2 separate regions of the Mus musculus genome follow, and region 1 is reported to be linked to region 2. Evidence: microRNA targets listed by miRTarBase, many of them from high-throughput screens and not tested one by one. Region 2 holds a microRNA gene; the other region holds the end of a gene's coding sequence.

Evidence for each region. The annotated mature microRNA mmu-miR-3061-3p reads CUACCUUUGAUAGUCCACUGCC and lies in region 2 at 3,459-3,480, opposite strand. An mRNA with a match to its seed (bases 2 to 7 or 8) in the 3' UTR can be bound and repressed. Matches are read on the target gene's strand: a 7mer-m8 pairs with bases 2 to 8, a 7mer-A1 pairs with bases 2 to 7 and ends in A, and an 8mer does both.
Region 1: miRTarBase lists Fam126b as a target of mmu-miR-3061-3p. Seed matches in the 3' UTR shown: 7mer-m8 at 922-928.

The regions. Positions count from the first base shown.
Region 1 is chr1:58,525,114-58,530,316 of GRCm38, forward strand. It overlaps Fam126b (family with sequence similarity 126, member B), which reads right to left. Exons shown (of 13, transcript NM_001310598.1): 13 at 1-5,146. The coding sequence ends at 4,545. The region is part of intron 2 of Gm15834 (a long non-coding RNA gene); the gene reads left to right. Among named protein-coding and RNA genes, the nearest start is that of Gm15834, 23 kb to the left of the region's middle.
Region 2 is chr11:52,125,044-52,130,283 of GRCm38, reverse strand. It overlaps Mir3061 (microRNA 3061), which reads right to left and starts at 3,538; the gene lies at 3,448-3,538.

The sequences.
Region 1 (5,203 bases), not on the chromosome of region 2:
GAAAATTGTACTAACCTGATGACTCATTATTTTATTTTTACACTATATTCCATGTTTATATAATCTGGTAAATATTCTATTTTTAAGAGGTTAAGCTGCCAGTAGCTAGTTTTCAGTCACTTATTTTTGGAAACCACTTTAAGGAAATTAGAAGTATTATAGTAAGTATCTCACAACTTGGTGGTGAAGCAACGGCAGTGGTCATTTTGCTTGAGAGAGAAAAGCCTCCTGTTTTAATGCTTGATATAACCACAGTGCAGAAAAGTTGCTCTACGTTCTAATGTTGTAGAATTTCTGACCACTAGCATGACATATTAATCTCTTTAAATTGAAAAACTATGTCATTGGAATACTAAACTTTTTCATTAAATTAAAAAGAAAAACCTTACTTTATAATGTAATTCAAGTTCAGAAATGGAGTGGTCCCACTTGCCAGTGTTTATACAGTATGTTACCCTACCCATAAAGACAGAAACTAGTATTTTTATTTATAAATAAACATACAGTGGATTAAATGAGACACTGATTGTCAACAACTTAAGTACTAAACAATGGACCCAAAGAAGCCTCCTAAGTGAGGTAGGAAAAACGCACCACTGCATTAAGGTATTCACAAAAGCAGTGCAGACAAATGCAACGGAATGTAAAAGCTACTAAATGGAATCGAGACTACCAGCTGGAGATACTGAGCTTATGTAGCTAAGACTACCACACTTGAGTTGTTTTTATCTGGTCTATATGTGATAAATGACCCAGAGACCACTGTGCATGGATTCAAAGTTTCACACTCACTATTCTTCTTTTTCAGTAACGTAGAGGAATATTGCTCTTATCTACTCTAAGCCGAGTAAGGAACAATTTCTCTCTAGATGAAAAATGAATGGAATTGAGTTTATCTTTACTCTGCAATCTTCTACAGTGTACCTTTGATGACTGAAAACTGGCTGATTAAAGATCACTTTCAAATAGTTAGAAACACTGATCAAGGAAATTTCATTGGGTTTATTTTGCATCTAAACAAATCCCCCAAAATACAAATAACATGGCAGCATATAACTGTTATGTGGTAGAAAATTCACAAGGCATAAATTAGAAAAGAATAATGTGCTATACAGACACCTACATTTTGAACACATCCCCATCTGTATTAATTATTTTACTTTTTTTTTCCTTCTGGAATTAATACTTTTCTTAATGTGTTCACCAGCTACTAGACCAGAAACATAAAGAAATAGCAGAAATGGAAGTGTTTCATATCACATTTACTAAAGTATGGATAACCAGAGGCAATGAGGCATCAATATGCACGTGACTAGAGACAAGGTTTGATTATGGCCCTGCTTCTTAGTCATGGGCCTTATTTCACATCCTCCTTTGAGCCTCAGTGTCCTGAGGATGCAATGTGTGTGTATGGCAGAGAGAAGAGCCAAATTATCTCTAGGGTCTCTTCTAGCACAGAAACCTGATCTGCAACAAACAGGCACAGCACAGTGGGCTGCGAAAAAAGGGGCATTGGCAAAGGACCAAGATTTTAAATGACAACTCTTCCCTCCCTAGCTTGTAAGTTAACTTTTTACTTTATATTTTAGCTTTCTTACCAGTAAAACTAACTGAAAGTCATATAGAAAAACTCCTAAAACCTTCAGATACTGTAGTCCTTAATCTAACCTAGTACAGATGGCATCAATATAAGACAAATATTTTCCCCTAAATGCTTTTTTTCTACTAGTGCGATGAAGCTTCATGAAAGCTGAGAAATATTAAAGGGAAGTTATTAAAGGTTAAATTATGGACATTTCTAACTTTCTATGACATTTTTAACAGCTGCTGTATAACTGAACAAAAACCATTTTAAATTCAATGATGGTAACATAAAGTGGTTGAAATGATCATTAGAAAACTTGGTAGTTTGTCTAATTTTAATTCATTTCATTTTAACTGTTATCTTACACAGAAAATGTATTCTAAGACCCTTGCTATAAAGTGTAAATGAAGAACTTGTTCATTGAGACCAAATTATAGCCCAAAGAATATGAAGCAAATGTTTCAGGATTGTGAAATATTACTTGGGATGTATATACAAAGTCTACACATGCCAACAAAAAGATGAAAAAAACCTTTTTTTTTTTTTTTTTTTCTTTTCTGAGACAGGCCTTCTCTGTGTAGCCCTGGCTGTCCTAGAACTCCATCTGTAGACCAGGCCAGCCTTGAACTCAGAGATTCACCTGCTTCTGCCTCTGGAGTGCTGGGATTCAAGGTGTATGCCACCATTCCTGATTCTTAAACCAACTCTTCAGTTATGATGTTTCTAATCAAAAGATTTTTTCTCATATTTACAACAGTTTATGCTATACTTTCAAGTTATTTGGTATTCTCTTGTGCTTTATTTAAAATGCTTGGTTTAAATGCCAGTCTGTTACATGTGCGCCTGTGAGCTCCAGCATGAAGTAGGCGTGCTTTGCCATCTAAGACTGATACCTTCCTTATGCACCACAAAGCCTCTCTGTTCAGTAGGTTACAAAAACATTTTATTTTACTATTTTACAATTCTTTTTTCTTTTAAGTTTACTTGATATCTCTTAGTTAAATTAGTAGAAATAGGGCTAAAATGTGTCTGTGATAAATGGATACACATATCATACGCATATTATAAACAATCAATAGATCACATTTCAGCTTTTAGTTTTACTCCAAAGTTTGGCAATGATGTGGATAATAGCTGAGGTTCTAGTTCCCTATTTGCTGGGAGCTGAAAAATGTTATAAACTATCAAATCTAATTAAGGATTATTCTAACACAATGCAGACAGACAGATGGACAGATAGACAACTCCTCCAAAAATGGTGGTTTATGTATGAAAAAAAAAAGAGAGGCGTTTTCCTGGCTATTTAATTTATCAAATTTTACGGTAAATAGAGATAAAACAACTTTGTCAATTAAGAGGACACTTGCTTCCTATATAGGCAGTGTAATTTTCATTCACAATACATAAAATGTCTACATGTACAAGGGTGTGTGTAACTGATGTTCTTGAGATGGGTAATTCATAGCAATTGAAGTCACACAATACTGATTTTTAAAATCCTAATATATTCCCTTCTTTTTCAAACAAAGCCTGAGACCCAGAAGAGATTATAAGAAAGTCTTATCCAACCAAATCACAACAAAAATCCTTTAAACTAATAATGCATTTTTGTAGCCTCTTAGCAGTTACCAAATGCTACTCATTTACATTCAACATCTAGTTTACTGGCATGATTTCAACGTTTTATAAAAACGAGAAACTTTGCAGATAATCAGAAGATACACAAACTGCAATAAACACAAAGGCAGTGTGGTCCTTGTAGAGCAATCAAGTCAGTACCCTCTGGTAGAAATGTTCTATACAAATGTGTCACATAGAAGCATCAGTGTTTTCAACCAATCACCTGTCCCTGATGTGTTTCCTTGGAGTATATGATCTCAGGACTTTAGGTTTCTGTATCCCATATCTGACTGAATCTAGGTACATCTAGGAAGCAGCTGAAAGGGTTTCTCTAGTCTGATATCTCAGAGAGTGGACTGAGAAATCCCTCTCTTTACCTGAAGACGTACAGTGTCTACTTCAGTCATCACCAACTCACAAAGGAAAGGAAGAAAGAAAACAATTATAACTTCACCTCATTTACAATCTCACACAAACTAAACAAACAACACCCTTCCCCCAACAAAGCCCCAGCACCATAATATCAATCATTCCTGGGAAATAGAACACGCCCCTTTGAGTCTCTGATTTGTTAGTTCAAACTTTAAGGGCAGAAATGTCCTTAAGTCCTTGTGGGAGGAGGGAAGACCTGTTGTTAATGACTAGAGAGCCATTGAGAAAGTGCATTATCAATCACACAATCAACTTAGAGCCCTACCCTCCAATGGAGGTGGTCACAAATTGATTTAAATGCCTCAATAATTAAACATTTGTGTCCTTGGGATAAAGTAAGGGGGGCAGTTAGCCTCATTTTAATAAAAAAATTGCAGTAGTCTACCACTTTCCCCCATGCTTCCCAAGAATATAAAATTGCACAGGCTCAGAGAAGCCCAAAGTCATAGCAGAATCTCTGAGGCACTCCTGGTTAGAGAGAAAACATATGATCCAGTTATCTTCATAGTTCATAGATTATGTGAACAAACCCGTTTTGTTTTTAAACAAAAGCCAAAGAATCATTTCATAGGGATCTTATACACCATTTCCTCGACATCTCCTCAGTCTCACAGTGTTGAAATGGGACCGATCAGCCTACGATGGATTGCACATCACCCAAGGAGAAAGGAAGGCATGGAAAAGGCAAACGTTTTACACTGCTTCACAAACACATTTAAGGGAATAGGTAGAGAGGTTAAAAGAAAGGAAAGGAAAACCTTATTGCTGTTTCCATACAAAATACAGTATGAGATACCTAAGCTAAGTCAAATCTGATGACAGTGACATCTTTTCACAATGCGGGATGACGTGTCTTGCACAATGAAATGTTCAGTGTAGAAGGTTAGCAGAACAAGGGGCATCAGAACTACACCTGGGATATTAGCTGCATATTGAAACTTGGGGATCGAGACTGCTTGGTTAAGGGGGCTCCTGGGCTGAGGAGCTCTTTACCTTCACCAGCGTGACCTAGCCGGTCTTCTTGTAGACTGATAGTTGAATATCGATTAGCATTTGTAGCTGCTAGATTAGTAACTCCCTCAGTGCCAACCCCAATGCTGGTACTTGCTTGACCGCCATTTACATAGTCAAAAGATTTACTTGAGGAAGCACTGGCTGTCCGGATTAGACTCAGACTATTGGTTTTTGGCACCACCTGGCCTGCAGGCAGGCTCAAGTGTTTCTTCATCGGTGTCAGCTCAACTGAATCTATGCTGAGATCTGCTTGTTGTTGTACAAACTGCTTTCCAACTACTGAATCTCGAGGGCTCTCATTGGATTTGATGGCTAATGCTGTTTCTTTGTCTTTGGCGGAACGCCCAGTTGCTACTTTCCGCAAGCTTCCCCGCTGAGAAGAGGAGGGTGGTTTGGTCCCATGTGGTTGGCTGCTAAGAGAAGCCCCTGATGAAAATCCTTCATCTGCATCATTCATGTTTAAGGACTCCTCTCCGCCATTTAGACCCTCAGCACCTAAAAAATAAATCAGACAGATTATAGCTACATTAAATAAAAAAGCAGCTGTGAATA
Region 2 (5,240 bases):
GCCATTGAGACAGGGAGTTCTGGGCACAAACTCTGGAGCACAGGATCTGTGACTTGTGCCAATAGTCACAAGAGCCAGCCCGCAAAGCTTCCTTCATGTCTCCCTAAGGTCCAGTCACAAAACACAGGTCACTTTCTCTAAACTTGAAAGCTATGTGCCTGCCCTTCAAAGCCCACTAAATAATTCCAGCAAAGGTAGGGGCGCTTGAAAGCCAAGGTCTCCCTGAGAATGCTCTTGTAGCAGGCCCTTCACTGCTCTGAATCAAGCTGATTCGCAACTAAAGTATGCCACACAAAGTGTCTGGCACAGTGAAAGCTCGGGGCTATGCAACTCCTCTCTCAGCAGCAGCTTCGGTATCACTGCTCTTGACTCCTCTGCATTCACTTACCGTCTTCAGGGATTCTTCCTTCTGCATGGAGTACTGATGTAAGCTAGTTCATTATGCCAGCTGTGCCCCGGGATCCCAGCACCAAACTGAGCAATTGGTGGAAACGGCAAATCACTTTATGCTGTGCTTCTGACGCAGGGCCATCTGCCACTCAGGCCGAAGACAGAAATGTTCTAGTGTTTCTAGGTAGCTTAAGCAAATAATCTCATTTCAAAAGCCTCACATACCCACAGTCCTATTTTTAAAGTGCTGGTTTCTGATTTCTAGTGTTCTGCATACCTCCTCCTACCCTGAGATAAACTTGGAAACTCAAGTCCTACAAAGACAATCCTTAAGATTCTGTTTTAAGGAAACCTCTGAGACAGGCTGGAAGGATGGTGGCTCAGCAGCTAAGAGTGCTGACTGCTCTTACAGGGTCCTTCCCCGGTTCATTTCTCAGAAGCTCAGAGCTTGGAGGCTCACAACTACCTGTAACCCTAGCTCCAAGAGGATCCAACGCCCTCTTCTGGCCTCTATCGATACTGGCTTTCAGGAATGCATTGTACCTTTCCCTCATGCAACCCTCCAACCCCCAAAAGCCTGGGTGTATGGTGGTGAATGCCTTAATTACAGCTATTTGAATCTCTGTGCATTCAAGGCCAGCCTGTACTACATAACAATTTCCAGGGCTACACAGTGAATCTCTGTTGGTATACCACACACACACACACACACACACACACACACACACACACACACACACCACAAACACCTATCTGTACATCAATGTATGTAAGAGAGGTCAGTTGTAGTGGTGTGCATCATAATGCCAGCTGGTTGGAGGTGGAGGCAGGAATGGGAATTCAAAGCTTACCTCTGCCACATAGTGAGTCTCAGCACAGCTGGTATGACCATCCAAAAAGAACAACAGATGGGGATTCAAAGCAACCTTCCAGCTTCCAGCAGCTCAGACTGGAGACTGAGAACTACTACTTAATGAGGTTGGGGATGGGGAAACACACATTCATGACTGTGCATGAGAAGAGACACCCAGAGACTGACTGTCTTATGAAGACGGGTGAGAAAAGTACATCAGCCATGGGCCTACAGAGCCCACAGAGTCAGCGAAAGAGACACTGGAGACGAAACAAGCAGAGGATGCAGCAGCCAGGAGCAGCAGCAGCCGTCCATCTGGCTACACTGGGAGCTGTAGACTGTTGTTTCTTGGTGTAAAAGCAGAGTGCAGCAATGAGGATCACAAGGTCAATTCACTCTTGCTGCACACTGAGACGACAGAGACCCTGAATTCCATGCACAATCACAGAATACAGTGGGAGGGGCTGCAGAGATGGCTGAGCAGTTAAGAGTAACTGCTGCTCTTGTAGAGGAGCTGAATTTGGCTCATCACCCACATAGCAGCTCAACCCACTTAAAAAAAATTATCTCATGTATGACTACAATGTAGCTGTCTTCAGACATACAGAAGAGGATATCAGGTCCCATTATAGATGGTTGTGAGCCACCATGTGGCTGTGATTCCTGGGAACTGAACTCAGGACCTCTGGAAGAGGAAACAGTCCTCTTAACCAGAGCCATCTCTCCAGCCTGACTCTAGGAGATAAAACACCTATTTCTGAGCCAGGCAGTGGTGGCGCGCACCTTTATTCCCAGCACTTGGGAGGCAGAGGCAGGGGGATTTCTGAGTTCAAGGACAGCCAGGAACTGAGAAACCCTGTCTTGAACCCCCTCTGCCCCCCCCCCATTTCTGACCTCTGTGGCCACTACACTCCTGTGCACAAACAAACCCACCGACACACTGATAATTTGAAAAACCACCTACAGATGTGGGTAATGGAAGCACAAGGCCCTACTATGATACCCTTGGTCCTTTATCTCCCTTCCCAACATGCACTTCTCTAAGGGCACCTGTCACAAGGAACTTCAGTACTCTGAGAACAGGGACAGCCCTGGTTACACCACTTGTACTGATCAAATAAATGGCTACAACAGCAGGGTGAACGTTACCTAGCTTTTACTCTTGCCAGCAGCCCAAAGGATAAGGAGGGATCGTTAAGACTGGCAAGAGTTAACTCACCCGTGTTAGACCACCACAGAAGGGACTGTGCGACACATCAGGAGGTGGTATATTTGTTTACAGTTTATTGAGTACAGTATAGGAATGTAGCACGCTGGTCAGTAACTGGAGTACTGCCTGCAGCACATTGTTCTAAGAATTTCATACCGGAGTACAACCCACTAGGATATGCCCCCCACCCCCTTTCCGACTGGCTGTCTTAAATTCATTTCTCTTTTCACTCTGAATATTCTATTTATTTTTGCTTTCCATCTCTCATCTTCACTTGTAGCTCTCTGGCCATCTTCCTTCTGCTCCCACCATTCCTGTTGTCTCTGGTGGTCTCATGGTGGATGCTTTTCACTTCCTCTGCTTGTTTTTGAGGTTATCTTGGTGGTTTCCATCTTCCTGTGACACCTTTTGGTATGCTAGGAGCAGCTCTGCCACTTAGCCATGTTCCCAGTCCTCGCCTTATGGTACTTACCACCACCCATATGGACGTTATCCCCACGTCCATGGCTCAATAGGTGGTCCTAACTGGTGTTTTGAGAGGCAGTGAGACATGGCAGCTGGCAGTTGAATCACAGGGTCAGGCCTTTGATGCTTATATCTTCTTTGCTTCCTATCTCTCTCTGCTCCTCCTTCCTCCCAAGCCATTACTTGGTAATTAACTCCTCCTGCTGCCAAAACAGCCCTCACCTCTGTTCCTTTCTCACTCTGGCAGACCATAACCCTGAAACTGGGCCAAAATGAACCTCTCCTCCCCTAAGATGCTCCTGTCAGGCATCTATTGACAGTTACATAAAACATATACACTACTACACCACAATGACAAGCATTTTTAAAGACTAAAAGACATAAACATCCCAACCCAATGACTGGGATCCAAGTGGGAATGGCTAGAAAGTAGAAAGGGGCATGGGGCTCAAGACCCACTGCTTGGCATCCATCCTATAGCCACAACAGAAACTCCAGGACAGGGAGACCTACCGAAAAACACCAATGCATGCACCGTGGGGCAGTGGACTATCAAAGGTAGCCTTAGCTCAAAGGGGACCACCAGGCTACCTTTCACGGCCCACTGCCCCACAGTACACAATATATCAAGGTACACTCATCATTGAAGCAGCAAAGAGGGATCTAGGTACAAGATCCCTCAACGTAACCCAACACTTCATGACAACTTCGAGGTACGTCCTAAAAAGGTTGCACCTTGAACAGTCTCCAACATGTGACTGACCTATATACCCCAAAGGCGTGTAAAGCTCAACCAGAAGACAGAAATAAGAAAGAAAGCAAAACGAACCCTTTAAAAGTTCTACTCTGTCAAGTAAGATTGCTGGACGGTGGTGGCCCACACCTTTAATCCCAGCACTTGGACAGAGGCAAGTTTTCTCTTTCTCAAGTTTTGTTTTCTCTCATTATGTAGCTTGGCTGATTTGAACAGAGATCAGCCAAGCTACAAAAGATGATCCTGTCTCAAAACAAAAGCAATCCATACAATCAAGGTACAGAATGGAAATGAGAAAAATGGTGATGCATCACAGTATACCACACACACGTATGAAAATGTCACAATGACACGGTATCTTTACAGTTCTACCATATAGAGACTGGCAAGGGGCATGGTCAAACACATTTACAACCTTGCAGAGGTTATTTTTAACATAGACACAATTGTGGAAAAATTAACCCAAAAGATTTAAGTCTATAAAATGTAAAAGCAGTCAAAGAATTATGAGATTATAGGGAAAAAAAAAAAGGTTTAGGTCAGGAGAATAAAATCCACTTCAAAATTAAGCCTATAAATTATTGGCTGTTACGCTGGGTGTGGTGGTGCACGCCTTCAATCCCAGCACTCGGGAGGCAGAGACAGGCGGATTTCTGAGTTTGAGGCCAGCCTGGTCTACAAAGTGAGCTCCAGGACAGCCAGGGCTATACAGAGAAACCCTGTCTCAAAAAACAAACAAACAAAAAATTGGCTGTTTCCAGGAACACAGTAAAAGCCAGTTACCCCAGAAGATACCACCAGTACCACAAAATCCAGCTGTAGTTACAATGGTTATTTACTTTTAAGACAGGATTATGCTGGGCACGGTAATATATACCTTTAATTCCAGCAACTGGGAGGCAGAAGGAAGTTCAAGGCCAGCCTGGTCTATATTGTTTCAGGACAGCCAGAGCTACATTGTGAGACTCCGTCTCAAAAAGATAAAAGACTGCTTCACCATGTATCCTGGATTGGCCTGGAACTCAGAGATCCATTTACCTGCCTCTGCCTCCCAAGTGCTGATATCATAGATGTGAGTCACCATGCCCCACCCAGCAGTGTTCTTAACCCTAGACATACTATGCTCCTAATAATTCAAAGTAAAATATGTGGGCATCAAGATTGAATACCACAGAATTAACTGCGGCTCTTCCAGAGGTTGGATTTGGTCTTTAAGCACTCACACCAGCAGCTCACAACTCTGAAGCTCCAGAGGACCTAGAGGCCTCTGTTAGCACCACACACATAAACAAAACAGTAAGTCAAGAAAGGGAGACACTGTGCATTTGTAATGAAGAAAGGCAAACCGTCTCCCAATGGTCACTGAACATTTCAAGAGGCTCAGATGTGCCATTACACAGGCAGGTGGCAACCACACCACCACACTTTTGTTTCATTTCAAATAGCTACAAGGACCATTATGATAAATGCTTGAGGCATACATAGCCCGACTTGACACAATGTACAAATCTCAAAACATCACCTGGAAACCTTAGATAGTACATTGTTTTTGTTTTACTAAAACCATT